Linked DNA regions of Lytechinus pictus. The protein of the gene in region 1 interacts with the protein of each later gene in a pairwise test. Links are inferred from orthologs where the notes say so. Each region holds a gene or a part of one and is shown in the gene's direction. Other genes may lie near its edges.

Region 1 (11,075 bases):
TCTATTTCTTAGACTAAACTTATGACATGCACTTATTTTCATGACAGCTGCCATGACACTTATGCGGACAGATGAAATACATTTGATCAGGGTGGATGTGTGTGTGTGCACTCGGGGGGGGGGGGTATTCGTGCGTGAATGTGTGTTGAATGTGGTGGGGGAAGGGGCTGTGACTGTGAGTGTGAGGGAGAGGCCCGAGGATTATGCATATTAAATCTTCTCTCATAAATCTTATTAGTTGTATTCTAATAATTTACAGGATTAAAGATTTGTGTGTGTGTGTGATTCAGAAATGGTAAATACTTTTGTTCGTTTTTAGGTTGTACTGCTTTATATTAAAAATATATATCATTTATGTGTATAAATGTAAGAGAAAAGAATATATATTCCTTGGAAAAAACCGCATACATTCGTAATTCCGAAGCTTCGTTATTCCGAAGGTTCGGTTATTCCGAAGGTTCGGTTATTCCGAAGGTTCGTATTTCCGAAGGTTCTTAATTCCGAAGGTTCGTTAGTCCGAAAACGAAATGAGGTTCGTAATTCCGAAGGTTCGTTAATCCGAAAACGAAATGAGGTTCGTAATTCCGAAGGTTCGTTAGTCCGAAAACGAAATGATTAACGAACCTTATTTCGTTTTCGGACTAACGAACCTTCGGAACAACGAACCGTATTTCGTTTTCGGAGTAACGAACCTTCAGAACAACGAACCTTATTTCGTTTTCGGATTATCGAACATTCGGAAAAACGAACCTTCGGAATAACGCCACAAATGTTCGGATAAACGAACCCTTTTACGTTTTTGGATTAACGAACATCGAGGTATAGGCAATTTACGTGTTTCAGAATTACGAACCTTCGGAATAAAGAACCTTCGGAATTACGAAGTGTAACCGAAAAAACAACAAAAATTAAGAATTTATTCATGACATTGTTTTACTTCATTTTCGTTAAGAATTGTCAAATGTATAGATGTGTTGATCAGAATAATTGTACGTTCAAACTAAGCATTGTAATTATGGTGTAATTTGATTTGATGCCGTTTTGAATTCATGATCATGAATGTAATATTTTACTATGTTCAAATTTGTTTGATGAGAGAAGAGAATAAAAGATTATAAAAAAAACAGTCCTTAAGATGTCTCTGTTAGGTCAGTTTACCTGGCTTTGCGCGCCCACTAAGCGACTCACAAATTTTGCTGGTGCCTGGTGCCCCCCATGCCGTGACCCACGGTACGCCACTGATGATTATGATGATAATGATGCTAGAAGTGATGATGATGATGATTAGGAGATCTAGGAGGAGAATTATTTATTTGATGATGAGGATAAAACAACAAGTAAACATTGCAAAACAATGAAGTGGTATATATACAGACATTGGATTAATGCAAGGGATCATTGTGATGATAAAGACAGACGGTGGTGGTGACGACGACGACAAAGATGATGATTATGATGACGACGACGACGACGATGATGATGATGATGATGATGATGATGATCATAATGATGATAATCATGCAGTGACAGGTGTGATGATGTGGATGGTATAAATGGGCATGATGATGACAATAATGGTGTGGATAACAGTGGGTGGTGACGATGGTGTAATCTATCCAATGGGTTGTGATGATGATGATGATGATGATAATGATAACAGGTGTGATGATGTGGATGGTAATAATGGGCATGATGATGACGATAATGATGTGGATAACAGTGGGTGGTGTAATCTATCCAATTGGTTAATTGTAATGATGATGATGGTGGTGGTGATGATGATGATGGTGGTGATGATGATGATGGTGGTGATGATGATGATGATGATGGTGGTGGTGATGATGATGATGGTGGTGATGATGATGATGATGGTGGTGGTGGTGATGATGATGATGATGATGGTGGTGGTGATGATGATGATGGTGGTGATGATGATGATGAGGATGATGCTGATGATGATGATGATGATGATGCCGATGATGATGATGATTTTTATAAAGAAAAAAATGATAATCAAGACATGGAAGTAATGAGGCAATGATGAAAATGATGAGGAAGATGAGCAGGGGCGGTATTCTGAAAACGTTCTTATCTTAATTTTGTTCTTATCTACGTCACGTTCTCAAATTGGTATTCTGAAAACGTTCTTATCTTTTTCTTATCTTTTGTTCTTATCTTTTTCTTATCTTGCTTTCCATCCTATGCTGAGCGCGTAAATTTGTTACACGCGCATAATACCAAAGCGCGCTAAAAAGATAAGAACAAAATAAAGATAAGTGGTATTCTGAAAACATTCTTATCTTTTATCTTTCTTATCTTTTACGATATTTATGATAATATTTAAGATAGCTAGAGGGTTATCATATCTCACGATGTTCGCGTTCTTTCTTGCTAAAAAAAGATGGCCACTGGTAATAACATGTATTCTTTCCATCCTTTCTTTTATTCACCCTTTATTTTGTTTTTCACCTTTTTTCTATCCTTTTGTCTTTCTTTATCTATTTTCAATTTTTCTTCCTTTCTATCTGTCTATCTTCCTTTCTTTCATTCTTCATTTATATCTTTTGCTTTATTCTTTTGAATTTTTTAATCTCTTCCTTATTCTTATTTTACTTTGTTTCATTTATTCTTCATCTTTCTTCCTTTTTATTTTTCCTTTTTCGTTCTTTTTCTTTCTTTCTTTGAATTAACCTTTCTTTCGATTTCTTTCTTTAGTCTTTATTTTTGCTTTAATTTCTCTTTCATTGTTTCATTTTCCTTTTTTCTCTCTTCCTTCACCTTTTACATTTTTTTGTTCCTTCTTTTTCTCTTTCTTTTTTTTTCTTTCACTCGTTTTTTCAGTTTTTTCAGTTTTTTATTCCTTCATTTTATCCTTTTAATCTTTTTTGGGTCCTTTTTCGTTTTTCCTTTAAGTTTCTTTCTTTCCTTTTCTTCATTTAAGTTATTTTTGCTTGCTTTCTTTCGTTTACTCTTTCATTATTTTCTGCTTTGTTCCTTTCATTTTTTTTTCTGCTTCATTCTGACCCTTTTCTGTCTCCTTTCTTACCTACTTACTTTCTTTCTTCCTGTTTTATTCTTTATTCGTACCTGCTTTATTTACTTTTTTTCTTTACTTCCTTTCTTTCTTCCTTCCTTCCTTCCTTCCTTCCTTCCTCCCTCCCTCCCTCCCTCCCTTTCTTTCTTTCTTTCTTTCCTTATTGTGCACGTGTCTCGAAATAATAATCAGTCATTTTTAATGCGTATAAAATGCCTATTTCGCGCAATGCGCCAGAAACAGTGTTCGCGCAGTGCCCATGATACTCTCTTGACATAAGGAACGCTTCTATTGGTTAAACTGACAATATAAAGCGCATTTTGATTGGTAATATCCTAAAAAATGGGCGTGTTGAAGATAAGAAGGAGGCAGTCCTTACAGAGATAAGAACGCGTTAAGAAGATTTTCAGAATACCGATTTGCAATGATTTTAGCGTCTTCTTATCTCAATGAGATAAGATAAAAGATAAGAACAAAGATAAGAACGTTTTCAGAATACCACCCCAGGAGAATTATGTTGGATCAATGCATTATAATTGACTTTCGGTGACGATGAAGGGGCGGCGGAACGTTTTTTTTTGGTCCGGGCCCTAGTACTATATGTCAAAATTAAGGGGCATTGGCAGCAATAGAGATATTTTTACCTTCACTTTATGTTTCTGCCTGCACATTGCAGAATAGTATACAGTGTACACAAAGTTCTGTATACAGAGAAGGGGAATTCTTCCCCTGGAAGTGATTTTGGTTGTTAAACAAAACAATTACCCCACGAATTGTATTGTTTTGTCGCTATCAAACATGTTGAAGTGAACCAGGACCCTGGGAACTATTCTTTTACTGGGGGGTGCTGATGTAAATATGACAAGCAAAAAACAAAGTTTTCACTACAAAATACAGGTTATTTTGCTAACATTTCTCCACTTTTTTTAAACACCTACCAGAATTCCAGGGAGTGCTGCTATAGGCCTACGCGCAGCACCCCCAAGGAAAATTTTGGGGATGCTTTCCAGGGCCATGAAATGAACATGAACACAGAGCAATGTTATCACAGAAAATGAATGAGAACGCGTTGCATGCCTTTTCTTTGAACAAAGTATTATTAAATTCTATGACGCGCCCCGTTAGAGGCAAAAATACATCACGTAATCAATTAGAAAATAACAGAACATAACCATCAGTGACGAATGTACCGAATGTGCATTATTTCAAATCAGGTTTCAAGGCACTCATTTTGGGTACATCAAACAGAAGAACTCAAAAATTTAGGGGATGTGGGGGTGAGGTGGAAAAACAAGAAGAGGTCTAGTTTCGAATGGATGGATCGAAAGATCAAAAATGGATCGAAACGTGGAGCGTTGTGGCCCAGTGGATTATAGTCTTCTGACTTTGAAACAGAGGGTCGTGGGTTCGAATCCCAGCCATGGCGTAGTTTCCTTCCGAGCAAGAAACTTATCCACATTGTGCTGCACTCAACCCAGGTGAGGTGAATGGGTACCCGGCCGGTATAGGAAGATATTCCTTGAATGCTTGAGCGCCTAGGCAGCTCAGCTAAAGCCGGGGTAAGGGGCCCGCTGGGAGAACAGTTCTCGGAACTGAAGTGGATACCCTGGGTAAATATACCTGGAGGAAATATTCTAACTTGATAGGAACAAAGGAAAGAGAATCAACTTCAGAAAGAAAAGAGTGGCACTTCACAGAGGGTATAATTCTGTGGGATATTTTAATGGGGGGCAGTTATAAGTCCCCCCTTGTACTCGGCCTCCCTGCCTTCGCCGCCCCTAGCAGCGAAACTGCAAATTAATTGTTGGTTGCCACCTGGAGGAGACATGAGTTTCACTGAATATAAAGATTGAAGTATTAGACCTATGGCTGTGTGTATTTAAAACAGAACTTAATTTTTTCCTCTGCAAAGTCTCAAATTAACCCAACAAAATGAGTGTTTTCTTTTTCTTTTTAATAAATGCAAAAACTCTAGTTACATATAAAAACATGCAAATAAAAAGATCCCCTTTTAAAGTTGCATTACTCATGACATGTTACTTCTCACTCCCCCCATCCCCCCCCCCCCCCCCAATTATCAACTATCTGAGTCTGACCAAGGAGATATCACTCTAGAGTGATATCTCCTTGGTCTGACTCATAGAGATGTATTACTAGTAGCGTTCCTCACCTGCTCCTCACCTGCTCCCGGTAAACTTTTGACCAATCGCAGACCCGGGTCGCAGACCTCGGTTATACCATGGACCTATTACATGGTTATACTAGGGAATTCGGTTCTTTAAGCCTAAATTGAACCCCAAACTACGTCCACTACAAATTTTTATAAGCCTAGCCTGTTATTTCATAATTAGCATTAATACATGTCTCCGACATCGCTACCCCCCCTTTTTTTTTTTACTTTCAGATTTTTCTCGGCCTCTGGCGGACCGGCGGGCTAGCCCGCCCGGGATCGACCGGCCGGACCGACCGGCAGCGCATCGCAGGCCAATTATTGCGCAATTGCCAGAGACTTTTTTGACCGAGCACGGAGACCTGATAAATCATCTTTTGGTTTTGGTATCGAAATGGCAGAACTTATTTCGATCAAGAGTGTGGAGGACTTTGGAAAAGAAGTAGAACAAACTGTTAGGTATGCATTCAGTTTCAGTTCTTTTGACAACCATTTGAAAAAAAAAAAATGCTTTCCTACTTCATCACCATGATCACGTTCATTGCCCCATGTGTTCATTTTCATGTCTTGTTCAAGTTGCGATTGTGTGTGACTTCTGAAGTTGTGACACCTGTTTAGTGTGTGCAATTGTGTACCCTCACTAACTTGACTGAAAGATAACTCAGGTGAGGGTAACAACACAAAATAAAATGTTCACATAATTGAGCAAGCCTAGCCCAGGCTTTTATTATACAGAATTATAAAACTGAGTGTCTATGATTGACATATGACTGAGATTGAGAACGATTTTTATTCTTACTAATTTTTCTTACTCTTAGTAAATCTTACACTGTCCAACGTACTTAGACTCTAAGTTTAATTATAAAATATCGCACACTTGATTAACCTTAACGTTTAGCATAATTGGACCGAAACAAAAATACAATCATTAAACCAAATACAAATCATGTGTATTTCTGTGGTACAGATGTTGAATATCAATGTCATAAAAAATAGAATTGAACAAAATATGGTGAATGGAAATTATTTACTTACTACCAGAACTTTGTTTTTTTGCCAAACATCGGACACAGTTTCCAATTAGATCTATCGGACATGTAAAAGTTAGGCGCTGCGATCATTTTTGGCAATTTTAATCATGCTCTAAACCCCAAAATAATTGCTTGATAAAACTTATTTCAGCTGCTCAAATTTATGCTGATTTTTATTATTACTCTCAATAATTTTGATATATCGGTAAATAATATTTATTTACTTACCAAATGGACCTCTTTCGGCTCTAAACATCAGACGCCTATGCTCAGCTGTGAGCTACTTTGTTCTAAAAAGCGAGTGCGTATGTGTTAAAAAACATTGATAATAATTACTTCTTATTAAGCGCTTTTTCAAAAGTTACAAAGTTAGCAAGGGTCATATTCTTTGGAAGTCAAAATCATGGATTTTACCCCTGGATTTAACCCCTGGAATATTTTTTTTGAGCAGCAACCTTGGTCTACTGTGTGTGTGTGTGCGACTTCAATAGAAAGTAAGTTCATGTATCACATGCATATTGCATGCAAGTCCAGTGCAGGACCCTGTAGTTGTGTGGAGGGAGTTGACGTAATTTTTGTCCGATATTTGGGCACTTAACTCCATCTCAATTCTCATCTTCCAAACAATTTTTCAGGAATTACATTTATTTTAGCATTAGTAAGTTACAAGGCCTAATCACTAATGTCAACAAATGTTAACACACCACAAAACACACCATAAACATTGTAACACACTAAGCCTCAAAGCCACTATTACATGTACTCGCCACAGCACAGGAGAGTCCCGATTTCAACTCCAAAATAGCCTTTGAAAATCAAATTTTGCTCTTGAAAATTAGAATCTGCACCATATCTCCAGTGCACATGGCGCTTAGCTCAGATTTAAAAAGTGTGATTGCTGAAAAATGCGCTAGAAATGAAGAAATTTGTGGTTTTTGTTTTAAGGTTGCCTTAAAGCCATTGTTACATGTACTCGCCTCAGCACAGGAGAGTCCTAATTTCAACTCCAAAATCGACCTTTGAAAATCAAATTTGGCTCTTGAAAATTAGAATCTGCACCATATTTCCAGTGCACATTGCGGCTTAGCTCAGATTAAAAAAGCGTGATTCCTGAAAAATACCTAGAAATGAAGAAATTGGTGGTTTTTGTTTCAAGGTTGCAAATGTTCTCACGAATTTAGGACTGAACAGTATGTTCAAAATGGCAAATCAAAATCAAAAGTCAACTGCATTGAATTTGCACCGAAGTAAATTCAGCTGCATACTAGCGTGTTGCCTTCAATCATCAGGGGCTCTGAGCGAAGGGCTGCTGTGACTTCCAGGTTGCATATCAAGTGCGGAGCCGCGTAATCCAGCGGCGCTTCCACACATCAACTTTTGATCGCTCGATGTGCCATGTCGAACAAAGGGCTGTTAGTGTTATCAACATTACTAGGTTTACAGTTAGGTTTAGGGTTAGTTTTTTTTCTATGAAAGCTTGAATCTGGCACTTTATTTTTTTCAACATGTCCGAGTTGCCTTAAGTGCTGAGTTGACCTTTATCCATTTGCAAAGCAACTCCAATATCGGAGATTGTCTCCCTCATTGGAGAGAGTCTTCAACAATCAACCATGTACCTCAGTCGCTGCAATCAAACAATGTATTGAAAACCATTTACTACCCGCAGATGGTAAAAAACTATAAGTAAACTTTTAATTTGATGATAATCATTCCGCATGTTCTGACAAAATGATTCTCAAAACCCAAATTTTTTTGGGAAATGCTCGATCAAATTTTTTCAGAAGTGCATTTAAAAAAGATGTGCTATTGTTTACTCTGCTATCTTTTATTTTGTCATGTAAAGTGATCGCCATTCAGGCAATTCAAAGCATGCAGTTTTTTTATTGCCTGGTTGAGTATCCGCCCATTGATATTGCTCAACTGCTTCCCATAAAAACAGAACAAAACAAAACGCCCCAACATTATCCTGTTGTGTTCAGAAGGAAAGTTCTTACATCTGGCAATTCTCTTCTGGGACAGAATTGTACAATTACCAAAATACTTTCAAATGATTGATGATGAAACCTATTATTTTTGTTGTTGTTCTCTGTCAGTGGTCTATTGGTGGTTCACTTCAGGGCGCAATGGGCCCCTCAGTGCCAGCAGATGAATGAGGTCATGCTTGAACTGGCCAAGGAACATCCACAGGTTCGCTTCTCAACGGTAAGTCTGCCTTTGTAACATCACCCTCTAGGGGGCCTTGGATCATCAATGGAGGGAGCTGTTTACAACTGGAAGGAAGGAAAGTGACACTGTCTACATTTATACATGAATCTAATGTCCTCAGTATTGAAACCCTGTAGGATGTGGTATCCAGATAAGGTGTAATTTGCCCAAATTGAATTTTAAGATTTTGAAAAAGCTCATCCACACAAATACTTGATTGATTGTAGAGGAATTTCATTGAGAGTTTCAAAAAAATACGGAGAAAACAACGTTTGAAGTTCAGGGCTCACTTAAGCATGAGATGTACACACTGCAATTTTGGTGAAACGTCCAAGCAGTCCTCAAAAAGTTGTGTTTATTGTTTCCTATTCATCTTAAAACTTGTAATTTGATAGTATAATGAAGGAGAATTAATCATATTGCATCAAAGTTTCAAAGCCATGATAATATCATTAGCTTTGTTCAAAAGAGATTTTTCCTACTGTGTTTTCAAACGAAACTTCACTAGTAAATAAAACATACCACAGATTATTATGAGTGGGACTGTAATACAGCCAAAGTGGTTATTGTTCGCTTATCTCAAGCATGTCTGAGGAACCTCCATGAGAGATATTTTTCTCTCTATTTTCATATTTCATTTATTTTTTAGGTTGAGGCTGAAGAACTTCCAGAAATTTCTAAAGAGTACAGCATCGCTGCAGTCCCCACGTTCATTTTAATCAAGGTGAGTCATACAACAAGTAATTGTTTGCATAATTCCACTCTAGCCCTCTTTCTCTCCTTTCCCTGTCCCTTTCTCTCTATTCCCCTTTCTCTTCCCCCTCTCCCGTTCTCTTCCCTTCCTTCCAATACCCCCCCCCCCAACACAATTTCCCATAATGGTCATTTAGGAAAACGGACCAACTCAAGTTTTAATGTTTGCTGCTAATATTGGTACAATTGTTCCACAGTTTCCTATCCCATATGTCATGACCACATCGTAACACGGTCACTGGTGCTGTCAAAGAGAAAGAATAATTAGTTGCGAATATGTATTGAAAGGCTCTATGGGCCATGTATTTGACTATATTATGTTACTGGCCTTGCAAGCTTGAATTTATGATTTTATTGCTCAGATTTCATTTTTAGTTTTTAGCCATTTGTTATTAGATTTATGGAGGAAACAAGATTCAGAATTGTCATTTTCATGGTTCTTTTAAAGTTTTTCACCATTTGCATTAGCATTGGAACAAGAGGGTGTTTCATAGTTATCATGACATTTGCTCTGGCGACAACTGCTCCGCTTTAAAATTCCACACACAAAAGAAATGACCAACTTTAACTCGGGGGGGGGGGGGGGGGCCAGTCAAATATATTGCTGTACACACGCGTGACCAAAAAACGCGTTTAAAGGGGTGTTTTTTTTCAGTTTTGGACGCGGTCCGCGCGTGGACTCGTTAAGGGTATCAAAAACACCGATTTAAAAAAAAAAGGGTGGTTTTGAAAGACTGGTCAATGGTCAATCGCGGGGTCAAACGTATTTAGGGTATGTTTTTTCCCTAAAGCTTTTTTTTTTAAAGACTAGCCAAACGTGTTTGGGTATGTTTTTTTCCCCAAGCTTTTTCAACGAGGTTATATTTTGGCGACAACTTGTTTAGGGGCCAAAATGTGTAAATAAACCCCGCGAAAAACTTGTGTAGGGGGTTATTTGCACACAGAGAAAAACTAGTTTAGGGGGTGTTTGGAAATTCCTTGGTCACGCGTGTGTACAGCAATATATTTGACTGGCCCCCCGGGCTTTAACCCTGGATTTAAGACTATACCCTATCCTAAACTTAGACCTAACATAAAACCTTATTGCAATCCTAACCCTAACCCTACATGTATATCATAGAAGAAATCAAGCCTGGAGCAATTGTTGGCAGAGCAAATGTGTCACCGTTGTAGTTTATGACAATCTTTGAGTGAAAATCACTGACTTTGTTTCATGAAATACTCCCCTGGATTTATTGCTTGCTGACAGGTTCTTGGTTCAAGATCTATGAATTTCATTATGATCTTTAAAGGACTAGTCCACCCCAACAAAAAGTGGATTTGAATAAAAAGAGAAAAGTCCAACAAACATAACACTGAAAATTTCGTCAAAATCGGATGTAAAATAAGAAAGTTATGGCCTTTTAAAGTTTCGCTTAATTTCACAAAACAGGTATATACACATCCTGGTTGGTATGCAAATGAGGGAACTGATGACGTCATCCACTCACTATTTCTTTTGTATTCTACTATATGAAATATGAAATATTTTTATTTTCTCCCCCTTGTCATGTGAAATCGAGTTTTATTCCCTGAACATGTGGAATTAACATTGTTTAACATTATGTGGTTCAGTCAAGTTCTACATTATTGTCAATTCTGTAAAATTTCAAATATTGTATAATTCAAACAATAAATAACAAAAGAAATAGTGAGTGATGGACATCATCGACTCTCTCATTTGCATATCACTGAGTTGTGCATATAACTGTTTTGAGAAAAATGAGCGAAACTTTAAAATGTCACAACTTTCTTATTTTACATCCGATTTCGATGAAATTTTCAGCATTATGCTTGTTACATTTTTCTCTATTGATTCAAATCAACATTTTTCTGGGGTGGA
Region 2 (11,379 bases), on another chromosome or scaffold:
GTCTTTCCTATAAAACATCTCACGGCGTCCATCAGAGTCCGATTAAACCGTTCCACTTGCCCGTTTGCGGAGGGTCGATAAGCCGTGGTACGGGTCTTGTGGGTAGCCGTCATCTTACAAAGTTCCTGGAATAAGTGGCTCTCAAAATTTCGTCCTTGGTCTGTGTGAACCTGAAGTGGGAAGCCAAATCTACAAAAAAACTCATTCACCGCAGCTCGAGCCGTTTCCTCGGCCCTCTGCGAGGGGAGGGGAATGCATTCCACCCATTTAGTGAACTGATCCACAATCATTAGAATATATTCGTTCCCCTTATCCGATTTTGGAAGCGGCCCTAAAAAGTCCAAGTGAACTCGCTCCAAGGGAACTCCAGCATGGAAGGGGGTCAGAGCGCCACGGGCATGACGGGTGGGCTTCTTCCTCTGGTTGCATACAGTACATGCCTGGATATATAACTCCACATCAGTGCGCATGTGGTACCAGACGTATCTCAGCCTAATCCTTGCTATCGTTCGTTGGACACCTTGATGACCTGAGGTAGGTAAATCATGGTTGAGCTGGGTTACCAATTCCCTGAGCTTTCTTGGCACCCAAACCAGGAATAGTCCCTCTTTCTTCCAGCAGATCAAATTACTTCTGACCTCCAGGAGGCTTCTGTTTAACCAAAGAAACTTTTGTTCTGGTCCCCAGCGCATGATCTCCCCCTCACCTGGTTCTGCACGGCTATCCAGCCATAAGCGAATGGGCGCTAGATATTCGTCTCCCTCTTGGCCTTTGACAAGATCAATGCTGTTGTCGAGGGAGGTGAGATTGATTTGAAATCCCTGTTCGGAGGGCAAACTGGTGACTTCCCCTGACGTCAGGGCCATCTCAGCCAGTGTGGAATACACATTCTCTTCCAGCGGAGTTGGCGGATCGCTTGAGTCAGCCGAGTCGCTCCCCTTTGACTGCTTGTCAATCTTTGTCTGCCCAAGCTCGGGTATCGGTGGGCCCACCTCGGAACGGGAGAGCGGGGCTAATTTCAATTCGGGAATTCGCGGCTTCGAAGATTTCTGAGCCAAGGGTACGGTATTGTCTACTTGCTCCGCAAAGTCACACCAATTTCTATGAGCTCGGGTACAGTAAGGACAGCCACCACAAGGAAGATCATCGGGGGTTAGGCCCAATTCATACATCTCGCAAGCATCGTTGGGGGGAGGTATCCGAGAGAGGGCGTCGGCATTGGCATGGGTTTTCCCTTTCCGATAAGCTATCTCCATCTGATATTGGCTTAATTCCTCTAACCAACGGGCTAGTTGACCCTGGGGGTTTTTGAAATTGAATAGCCATCGGAGGCTACTATGATCCGTCCTCACCTGGAAGGGCTTACCAAGTAAGTAATGCCGGTACCGCCGGGTGAATAAAACCACGGCGAGCAATTCTTTGCGGGTGACGCAATAGCGGCGTTGTTCCAACCAAAAAATTACTTTTTTTCTTTCCAGGGCTCTTTTTGGAGAAACTTAAAAATTTTCCAGGGCTACTTTTTCATTTTCCAGGGCTCTTTTTCCACTTTCCAGGGCTACAATTTCTGTATTTCGCGGCTTTTTTGCGTTTGTGTGTGTGTGTGTGTGTATATATATACACGGTAGCTAGCATATACCAGGGAAGTAAAACACTTCCCTGGTTTGACCTTCGCATTGTTTCTTCGAAGTGATTGTTTATGATTTTAGTGTTGTGATGATAGATGGATTTTGATGCTTGAACGATATCTGAGTTGATTCATGGACCTAATACAGACCTATTCAGATTAAATCATGGAGGTAGAACCTCCATGAATTAATCCAAGTTTGAATGTTTGATACTTGGTTGACGTGAGCTTTGCGTGTTTACTATTTAGTGTTATAGCCCATTTGTCAAATTAATCTAGAAAGATCTGTATTCGTGTCTAAAGACAATGTAAAAGAAAAAGAAAGTTCTGAATTTGTACAATTCTGAGGTAATTTATTTTATCATACAATATAGGTACCTGCAAATGTTATGAAGTTGAACAAATATCCTTCGTACATATTTGACTGAAAGTTATTTAAATGACACTTTTTAAAAAAGACTTAAAATTATTCATACAAAATAATGATATAAGTCATAAAGGTCATTGAATTGTTAAGCGTTCGTATCAGTTACACAGATTCATGACAAAAAGGCCTACCAGAACCAAAACTGGCAATTTCCATCATCCATCATGAATGCCTAGCCTTGCACAGCCTCTAATTGAAATGAACTTATATCCACGTCTTTGCAAATTTTACCTGACCTAATTTCTCCACACAGTGAGAGAGGCCATGTGGCAGCCAAACCAAAACAGAATGAAAAGGGCGGCAATCTCGTACCCCCCCCCCCACCACCACCACAAGAATATCAGATTTCCAAACATGTGCTTCTCAAGATTGTGCAATACATGACGGAGACAAAGAAAGTTATGTAAACAAATTGCCGAGGGTTGATGTCCCTGAATTAAGGGGCTAGTCTACGTTTTCAGTCACTTAAGAAAATGGCGAACTGGCCAAAGGTGAAATACATCATTGAAAAAAAAATGAATGTTTGGATTGAAATAACGAAGATTAAATGAAATATGACTGAAAAATATCCATAGTTGAATCTCTACTTTTATTACTGACAGAACAATAACATCATTTTTTTTATTAACTTCTTGCCAATATTCCAATAAGGCAAGACTCCCATTTAAGACTAGAATGAAAGAAAAAAAAATCAAAGCGTGATTTTTTTTAAAGGGATAAACGAGACTCTTGTTTTGAACAGAGATATAAAAATATTTAAAAACAAACAAGAGGTGATAAACACTTCATTAAAATTATAATGAAGTTCGTAGTGAATTACAACTTGTAAAAGGAGAAATTAACAAGAATAATAGGGAAATAAAGTTTGGAAGAAAAGAAGGAATGAGGAGAGACAAGCTTTGGGGGGAAGGATCAAGATGGGTGGCTGCAGCTCGACATGGGGCTAGATAAATGGGAGGGGGGGAGCAATCATCTATCAAGTCGCCCAAAATCTTACACCTTCACCAAACTTCTCACACAATCCACACACAAATCCCAGTTCATGATACAACCACAAGTGTCGCTCAACACATGCGCACGTGGTCTCTACTGGCATTTTACAGTCACACACACAGAAATACACACTACACACGATGCATCCCCATACCACATGCAGTCACACTGAGCCTAAAGCAGAGAAACGTTCTGCTCGAAGTATATGACTCCTCTGCTCCAAATTCTACATTTATTTTATCTCAGTGCTTGGAGTCGGCGCTGGGGCCGATTTTCGTCCATGAATGAGAGAGCATGGCAAAGACTCGAGTCCCTTTATCTCAGAACCGCCGCCGCTTGGTACTCGAGTCTCCAGAGATCAGGGTCGACTCCCCGACTCTGGCATTGAGAATCGGGTAGACTCGATTACCCGGCGCTGGCTCCCAAGCCTAGTTGACGGGGGCGATTATGAGTTTTGCAGTCGCCCTCGTGTGAATGTTTTTAGCCCTTTTCTGGGGCTCTTTTTGGACTTTCCGGGGCGAATTCGCCCGCCGCCCCCGTGTAATTTTTTGGTTGCGTTGTTCTCTAGTTAACCCAACACTTCCATAAGCTATCACCCTCTCTTGCTCTTCTTGGAGTTGTAAGAGCTCGGCCCCAACGGCGACATCCGATGCATCAGTATCCAATATGAAGGGGTCTGTTGCATTAGGGAGTGTTAACACTGGAGCCGTAACAAGGAGATGTTTGATGTTGTCGAACGCTTGTTGGTGTTCCCTCCGCCAGAGGAAAGGGTTTTTGCCGGTAAGCTGATACAAGGGGGCGGCCGTTTCCGCATAGTTCTTCAGGAAAAGGCGATGATAATTTACCAACCCCAAGAACCGCTCGACCTCTCGGGTGTTGCGGGGAGCAGGCCATGTCTTGACGGCCCGAATGTGCTCCTCTCTCAAGTGTAGACCCGATCCATCCACGTCTCGTCCGAGGAACTCCACTCTGTTCTGGAATAGTGAACACTTTTTAGGCTTCAGCTTGAGATGAAAGGACTTAAATTTACTCAATACCTGATGAAGATTATCCAAGTGGTCAGGGAAGGACTTTCCCAATACCAACACGTCATCGAGGAAGGCGAGAGCTACTTCCCAGTTCAAACCGTTCAGGATCAGATTCATGGCCCTAGCGAATGTGGCCGGGGCATTACACAAGCCAAATGGCATCCTAACAAATTCGAACAAGCCATGCTTGGTGACGAACGCAGTTTTTTCAATGTCTGCCTCGGTTACTTGAATTTGCCAATAGGCGGAGTTTGCGTCGAGTTTGGAAAACCATACATTTCCGGCCAGGGTATCTAAACATTCCTCAATATTTGGTAATGGGAAAACGTCCTTTTTAGTTACTTGGTTAAGTTTGCGGAAATCCAGACACCATCGTACTGAGCCATCCCGTTTCCTGATCAAAACCGGGGGGGAAGCCCAATCTGAGGAGGATGGCCGGATAACTCCGGCCTTTTTCATTTTTTCTAGATGGGCATCTTCTTCGGCTACGAAAGAAATAGGGGTTCTTCTCATTTTCTGTTTGATAGGCTTAGAGTCGCCAGTGTAAATTTTGTGTGTGATTGCCGTAAAATTACCCAAATCAAAATCGTCTTTTGCAAATACATCTTTTCTTTCTTTTCTTCATCTTCACCCTGCCGACTACGCCATTTATTGTATCGTGACCTAGTATTAGTATTACCTTAAGTTAACTGTAATTTACGAGAATCTATGGGCTAATCTGACCTTAAGATATGGATCTCGCGTCGGATTATGGCCTGGCACGAAGCTTGAGTTGCACTGGTTGAACTTGAACTTAGATGTCGGTTGCAGAGCGCTCTGGTCCTTGCTGTAGCGTAGCTAGCTGCCGGGGTATGGTGCGTCCTCAGGCCAGTAGTACACGTCAGCGGTGGATCCAATTTACTCATAATAACACATAACTAAAATGCGTCTTAGCTTATATAGGGGATGGGACCCGTGAGCCGTGACAAGATACCGAAATTATATGGCCCGCCAATAGGGAATACATGTATATGTGTGTAATGCTATGGACAGCGAATAGGGAACTTATAAAGGAGTGCTTGTCTCTACAGGGGTAAGAGAGTAGCGCAGTGAGCTCCGTCGGTAATACGACCTTTCAAAGTTCACGGCGGCATCCGCTATCACCACGAGATTGAAAATAAAATGAATATCATCATAAACGATGTAAGAGAGCAACGCAATAAGCTCCGTCAATAGTACAGTCTTTAAAGGTTTATGGCGGGGTCCGCTATCACCACGAGGTTGAAGAGAAGATTTATATCATTATAAACGATGTAAGAGAGTAACGCAATGAGCTCCGTCAGTCGCACGATCTTTAAAAGTTCACGGCGGGGTCCGCTATCACCACGAGGTTGAAAATAAAATGTATATCATCATAAACGATGTAAGAGAGTAACGCAATAAGCTCCGTCAATAGTACAGTCTTTAAAAATTTATGGCGGGGTCCGCTATCACCACAAGGTTGAAGAGAAGATTTATATCATTATAAAGGGGGTAAGAGAGTAGCGCAGTGAGCTCCGTCGGTAATACAACCTTTCAAAGTTCACGGCGGCATCCGCTATCACCACGAGGTTGAAAATAAAATGTATATAATCATAAACAATGTAAGAGAGTAACGCAGTGAGCTCCGTCGGTAATTCGACCTTTCAAAGTTCACGGCGGCATCCGCTATCACCATGAGTTGGAAGAGAAGATATCTATCCTCTTAAACATTGCCATAGATAATACCGCGTCTTTCTCCCTGAATAATGCGACCTCTAAATAGCTAGCACCTCAAAAACAATCTTGAAATATGTTCTGAGCGATCACGCACTGTAACCAGATCTACGCCGATTTTTTCCTTCAAGGGGCATGATCGAAGATCGGCAAGTGATTGCCGATTGTGGTGAAATCGAATGGAATCGGTTGCCGATTGCAAAATCGGTTACAAGCTTACTTTTTTTTACCTTGCTCTTTACCTATAGCCCAGATCCAATATGGAAGACAAGATTTCAACGGGACAGAGTGTGTTGGTTGTATGGAGTCAAGGTCAGTCTCCAGAGCAAATCAAGGAGGTGGTGGAGAGACTGAGCAGTAAGGTCGGACAGAGTGGGCGTGTCCAGGTAGAGAATGACGAGAGACTTTCTATGTGTAAGTACATATATCCAGTAATCTCCCTCAATATAATTATTGCCCTTTGGAAGATTGCTTTTCCTCGCATTCCTGTCTGATTTCCAGAAAGTAGTTTTCAGAATAACTTCATAGAAAGCATTCTTGTTGCTATAGGAACATTCTCAGTGGGGTCGGTTTTTCGCATGAAATTTGAAACCGCAGCATACGATTTTACACAGTGTGTTGAGTAGCATGCCCAACACATGCGAAGATCCCTTCCTGAAGAACGGTTATGTCCTCACCTACGTTTATACTAGTTTAACGAGGAAAACCAGTCTTGAAAACCGCACCGCGAGGTGGTTTTCCAAACTGGTTTTGAAATCACTTCCAAGACTGCTTCAAGAGTTCCCATTACACATTAAACTAGTTTCCACTAAACTAGATTTAGTACTTTAATGAAAGCAGGGTCTGTGACATTTTGTATAGCATCGCTTGGGCCTTTCAAATGAAAAGTTGAATAAATAATGGACTAAATGTCATCCCATGATAGTATAGAACAACAGCAGACTGTATTTTGTTGATATTTTATAGGGAGAGGGTTTGGATGTAATGCCTCATCAAGGGCTCATTAGTCAATGAACTAATTTCTTTTAGTATTAGAGTACAAAGGGTGTAAAGAAAACCACATTTTCAAAAAGTTCAATATCTGCTCTTTAATTTGATACCTCAATTACAGAAAATGGTCAAGAAATAACAAAGTTCTGGTTATTTGAAATAAGGCTTGAATTTCAATAATTTCATAAAATGAAGAGGTTTTACAGGCTAGCGTTCAAACTTACTCGACACTCCGTTTTGTTGACGATCAGCCATGCATTAAGTCTTTTGTTACCATGCGATAGCTTCAGTGGGAAACCGGTGAAAACACGTTTATTTAATGAAATTATGGAAATACGAGGATTGTTTCGAGGGATCATAACTTTTTTACTACTTGACCATTTTCTGTGATTTAGGTATCAAAGAAGAGAGAAGATAATGAACTTTTTTAGTCATGTGATTTTCTTTTTGAAATTCAGATACCCCCCGCCAAATGAGTTTTTGGCATCCTTTCTTCGAATTGTTTTTGCGCAATCATGCGTGAATGAGGTATAATCTAAGTAATACCAGATGAAAGGGGAGATTCTAAGCTTTACATTGGTAGGTCATTTGTCTATTTTATTTATGATTAAGTTATGATAAATCATCGCTAAATCTCGGTTTCGTTTTTTTTCTGGGACGCACTGTACATGTAACTGAATTTATGTAAATGGTATATAAAGTTTGTTGTAAGATGCTTGGGTGTAAAATATAACAAAGTGTAAAAGCAATTCATGTTCCTGAGGTGGGGATCACAACGTTGCTCTCTCCTGTTTTGAACCTCAATCAAGGTACTTTCTGAATTTAATTCGAGAAATTGTTATCGTTGCTCATTTGTATATTTGGGTGTCACTTCATGATGACAGATGTAATGATAGATGTAATGATTGTCTCTTTTGATTTCTGCTAGCCTCACATCCAGCCTCCTCATTTGATGTAGCACTGTTAGGAGCAATCAAGCCATCAACACAGACCTACTCCTTTGAAACTCTTGCAGAGATAGCCAGAATCCTCAAGCCAAAGGGACAGTTGTTGTTAAGGGAACCTGTATCAGAGTCAGGTATACAAGATCAACTTTCCTTATTATTCTTTTTTTTTTTTGGGGGGGGGGCTGTATTGAAAGTATTTTACAAAACCATCAGTCACTCTCAAAAAGATCCAAAGCAGAAGATCAAAACATTCTTGTTTGGGATATTTTATTGAGTAAAGTGATACTGACAGTACATCTATATAATCGCTGTTGTGTAATATTTGCCTACAGAGCTTTTAATGCCGACTGAACTTGAGATTACATTTTGGGGTTGATGTCACATTTAGCTTGCAAAGTAAATTCATTGATATTTTATGCAGTCAGTAATTCTTTCTCATAATTTTGTAACCTTGATTTCCATAGGTGCAAGGAGTGTTTATTTATGTTTGTGTGTATATTTGTACTCAGATTCTGAGGTGTTGTACAACATAGAGAATATTCAAATTTGTACAGTGGTACAAAATATTCATTCAGTGAAAGAGAGACAATCTATTTTAGTTTTTAGCCAAATTTAATAGATCCATTTATGCCCTCCCTTTCCTGCAAAATTTTGTACCTATTGTGACTACTTGCTATCTGTTTGATTGATGGACAAATTGATTGTCACTTCTTTGGGTGGTTTATGGATGTAGCATGTAGCTATGATTCCTCAGTGAAGAGCTCTGTGGAAAGATATTATTATTTTGTGTTTCTGTGAATTTTCTTGTTTCTAAATACAAACGTTAAATGGTACAAAAATCCAAATTTTGTAAACAAGACATGGTACTGCAAAGTATTTATGAATACAGTGTTGTTTCAAATACAAACTTTAAATGGTACAAAAATCAAAATTTTGTAAACAAGACGTGGTACTGCAAAGTATTTATGAATACAGTGTTGTTTCATTTTGTGTTTTGTAGAGAATGGAGTTGGAATAAGGACACCAGCCAAGCTAGGATCAGCATTAAAGCTGAGTGGATTCATAGATATTAATCAGGTATTTCATATTTCAAATTTGTTGTTTGAAAGCACTGCTACAGTGTGTCACTTTTAACAAGGTATCTAGTCTACATTTTGGGAGGTGACCTAATCTTGTTAAGTAGTGGTTTCATGGTACACCATGTATACTTTCATGGGCGTGTGTTTTATTAAGATCTATTATCCTTTGATATTGATAGTCCAAACTGTCCCTGATAACTGTTAACGTCAAGACATGCCTTTCCCTTTCCTTGATGTTATTATAAATTTGTGAAACATGCTGAAAATTTATGTGTCCCCTTGACATCTATGCTTCCAAAGGAGCCAGAGGCATTATGCTCATGTCTGTATGTATGTCCATCCATTAAATTTTGTTCAATCGCTCTTTTTTAACAAATGTAATCATACATGTATATGAACGACAATGATCTGATTTAAACCTAAAGTCAGATTGATGAACATGATATTGATTGTTCTTGCAGTAATTTATAATAATTTATGGTTCAACTCAATTTTGGCTTATGCATACATATTAAAGAGAAAATTTTTGTTTAGGTTTTTCTATCATACATGAGAACAAGTCACATGTCATAGTGATCGTTCTCTGCATCATAGGTTTGAGAATTCAGCATTTTGGTTTGATTTTCAGCTTATTTTCAGCACTTATGTGAATTTCTTCTGAACAATAGTATAGGGGTTCTTACAATTTCAAATATTTTTGATGGTCACTCACTTACGCAAAGAAAACTATATTTTGATTCTGGATTTACTCTGCTTTCTCAAGCTATACAAGGAACAATAATTACATGTATTTCACACATAGTATTTTCTTAATTGGATTATTATTGAATAACTAATCTTTGTGTACTTTGGTTACACTTTAATGCTCAACCATAAATCATCTTGTTCCATACATGTTCATACATCATCCTACTTTTTTTTTTCTTTCAATGAACAGAATGTAGTGGAAGATTCAGATCCTTCTTCGATAGCCCAGAGTAGAAATATGACTGAAATCAATGGGTTAAAGATGGTTGAAGTGAGCTGCAATAAACCAGACTTTGAGGTGGGATCGACAGCTTCCTTACCTCTCTCATTTGCACCGAAAGCTAAATCAGGTAAATATGATAAAGATGGTACTGGATAGAAGTTTGTCTTTATGCTATTTTCACACCATTGTAAGAGATTTGTTGTTCAGGGCAGGACCTGGGCCCCGTCTTACAAAGAGTTACGATTGATCCGATCATTCACAACTATGGATGGCCAGCAACGTCAACATATATTATGCATGTTTGTTCAAAATATTTTATAACTATGATGCATATTTCAGGCATTTATTGTTTTCTTGAAAATTCACTGTGCTTCTCTTTGTTTACAAAGGACATTGTGCAAATATCCTGGACAAAAAATTATAACACTGATGGATTTCCATAGAGTTACGATTGATTGGATCAATCGTAACTCTTTGTAAGACGGGGCCCAGGCCTACCAAGATTTGTTATTGATCCAATCAACCACAACTATCGAAAGCCAGCAATGTCAACATCTATAATGCATACCTTATTCAAAATATTTCTAGATATAAAGAATATTCATACATCAGTAATTTTCTTGAAAATTCAGTTTGCTTTGCTTAGTTCACAAAGGACATTGTGCAAAGTTTCCTGTAGAAAAAACTATGACATTGGTGGATTTCCATTAGTTGAGGTTGATTGAATCAATCGTAACTCTTTGTAAGATGGGGGCTCTGTAGTCAGTTTGCCGGTGTTAAAAATACTGTAGCATATATTCTTGTGTTGTTCTTTTATTATTAGTACGACTCTTTTTTGTAGGAATTCCATGGAGCATTTTCCAAGCCTTAATATGATGCTAGCGCTAACTCTTAAAAAGAATTTGAAAAAAGAAAAGAAAAAAAATCATACATTGATGAGGTACAGTTTGAGAAGTTATTGTTATATAAATTTCCTGCTAATCTCCCATTAGTAGAGCGGATTAGCTCCAAAAATCACAACAATTGTGCAAATTTTGACTAAAGCATAAAACTTTCACAAGTATTAGTATATGCCATAAGATTTATTTTAAAGATGGGAGGTAAATTTATAAATGCCATTTTCTCCAAAACAACATACATTCCCATATAAATGGTAAATAAACATGATATAGATGACCAAAATGATCATTTTCAGGCTCCCGATTGAAAACATATGAAATTTAGAAATATTCAAGATCTTTAAGATAGTTCCAATTGGTCCGTTGCCATGGCAACGGCTTGTTTTTCCCCAGAAAAATAAAAATTTTGATGAAAAAAAGTTGTAGAATATGATATATCTTTAATTTCCCCTAATTTTACAGTGCTTAACAAAGATATTTTGGTGGCTAAATGTGTAAATTACATCTCAAGCCATTGCCATGGCAACCAAATAACATCTAATTTACAAAAATAACATGGTTGTCAAGACAATGGATAGGTGGAAAATACAATTGGAATTGACTTAATCTGTATGCTTAAGTTTTGACCCCCTCATTTGAACAAAAAATACAAAATTGTTCTGCAGGAGTTCTTTATAAAGATAAAATA

The links.
Region 2: the proteins of glutaredoxin-3-like (region 1) and anamorsin homolog interact in binary tests that used the Homo sapiens proteins (3 or more experiments, as listed by UniProt). The link is inferred for Lytechinus pictus from reciprocal best matches to the Homo sapiens genes GLRX3 and CIAPIN1.

What each region holds. Positions count from the first base shown.
Region 1 is NC_087256.1:18,205,988-18,217,062, reverse strand, and holds the start of glutaredoxin-3-like, read left to right. Parts: upstream 1-5,316; 5' UTR 5,317-5,598; coding exon 5,599-5,663; intron 5,664-8,328; coding exon 8,329-8,437; intron 8,438-9,089; coding exon 9,090-9,164; intron 9,165-11,075. UniProt on the Homo sapiens protein: Together with BOLA2, acts as a cytosolic iron-sulfur (Fe-S) cluster assembly factor that facilitates [2Fe-2S] cluster insertion into a subset of cytosolic proteins.
Region 2 is NC_087246.1:50,062,304-50,073,682, reverse strand, and holds the start of anamorsin homolog, read left to right. Parts: upstream 1-6,022; 5' UTR 6,023-6,066; coding exon 6,067-6,220; intron 6,221-7,724; coding exon 7,725-7,874; intron 7,875-8,743; coding exon 8,744-8,820; intron 8,821-9,759; coding exon 9,760-9,919; intron 9,920-11,379. UniProt on the Homo sapiens protein: Component of the cytosolic iron-sulfur (Fe-S) protein assembly (CIA) machinery required for the maturation of extramitochondrial Fe-S proteins.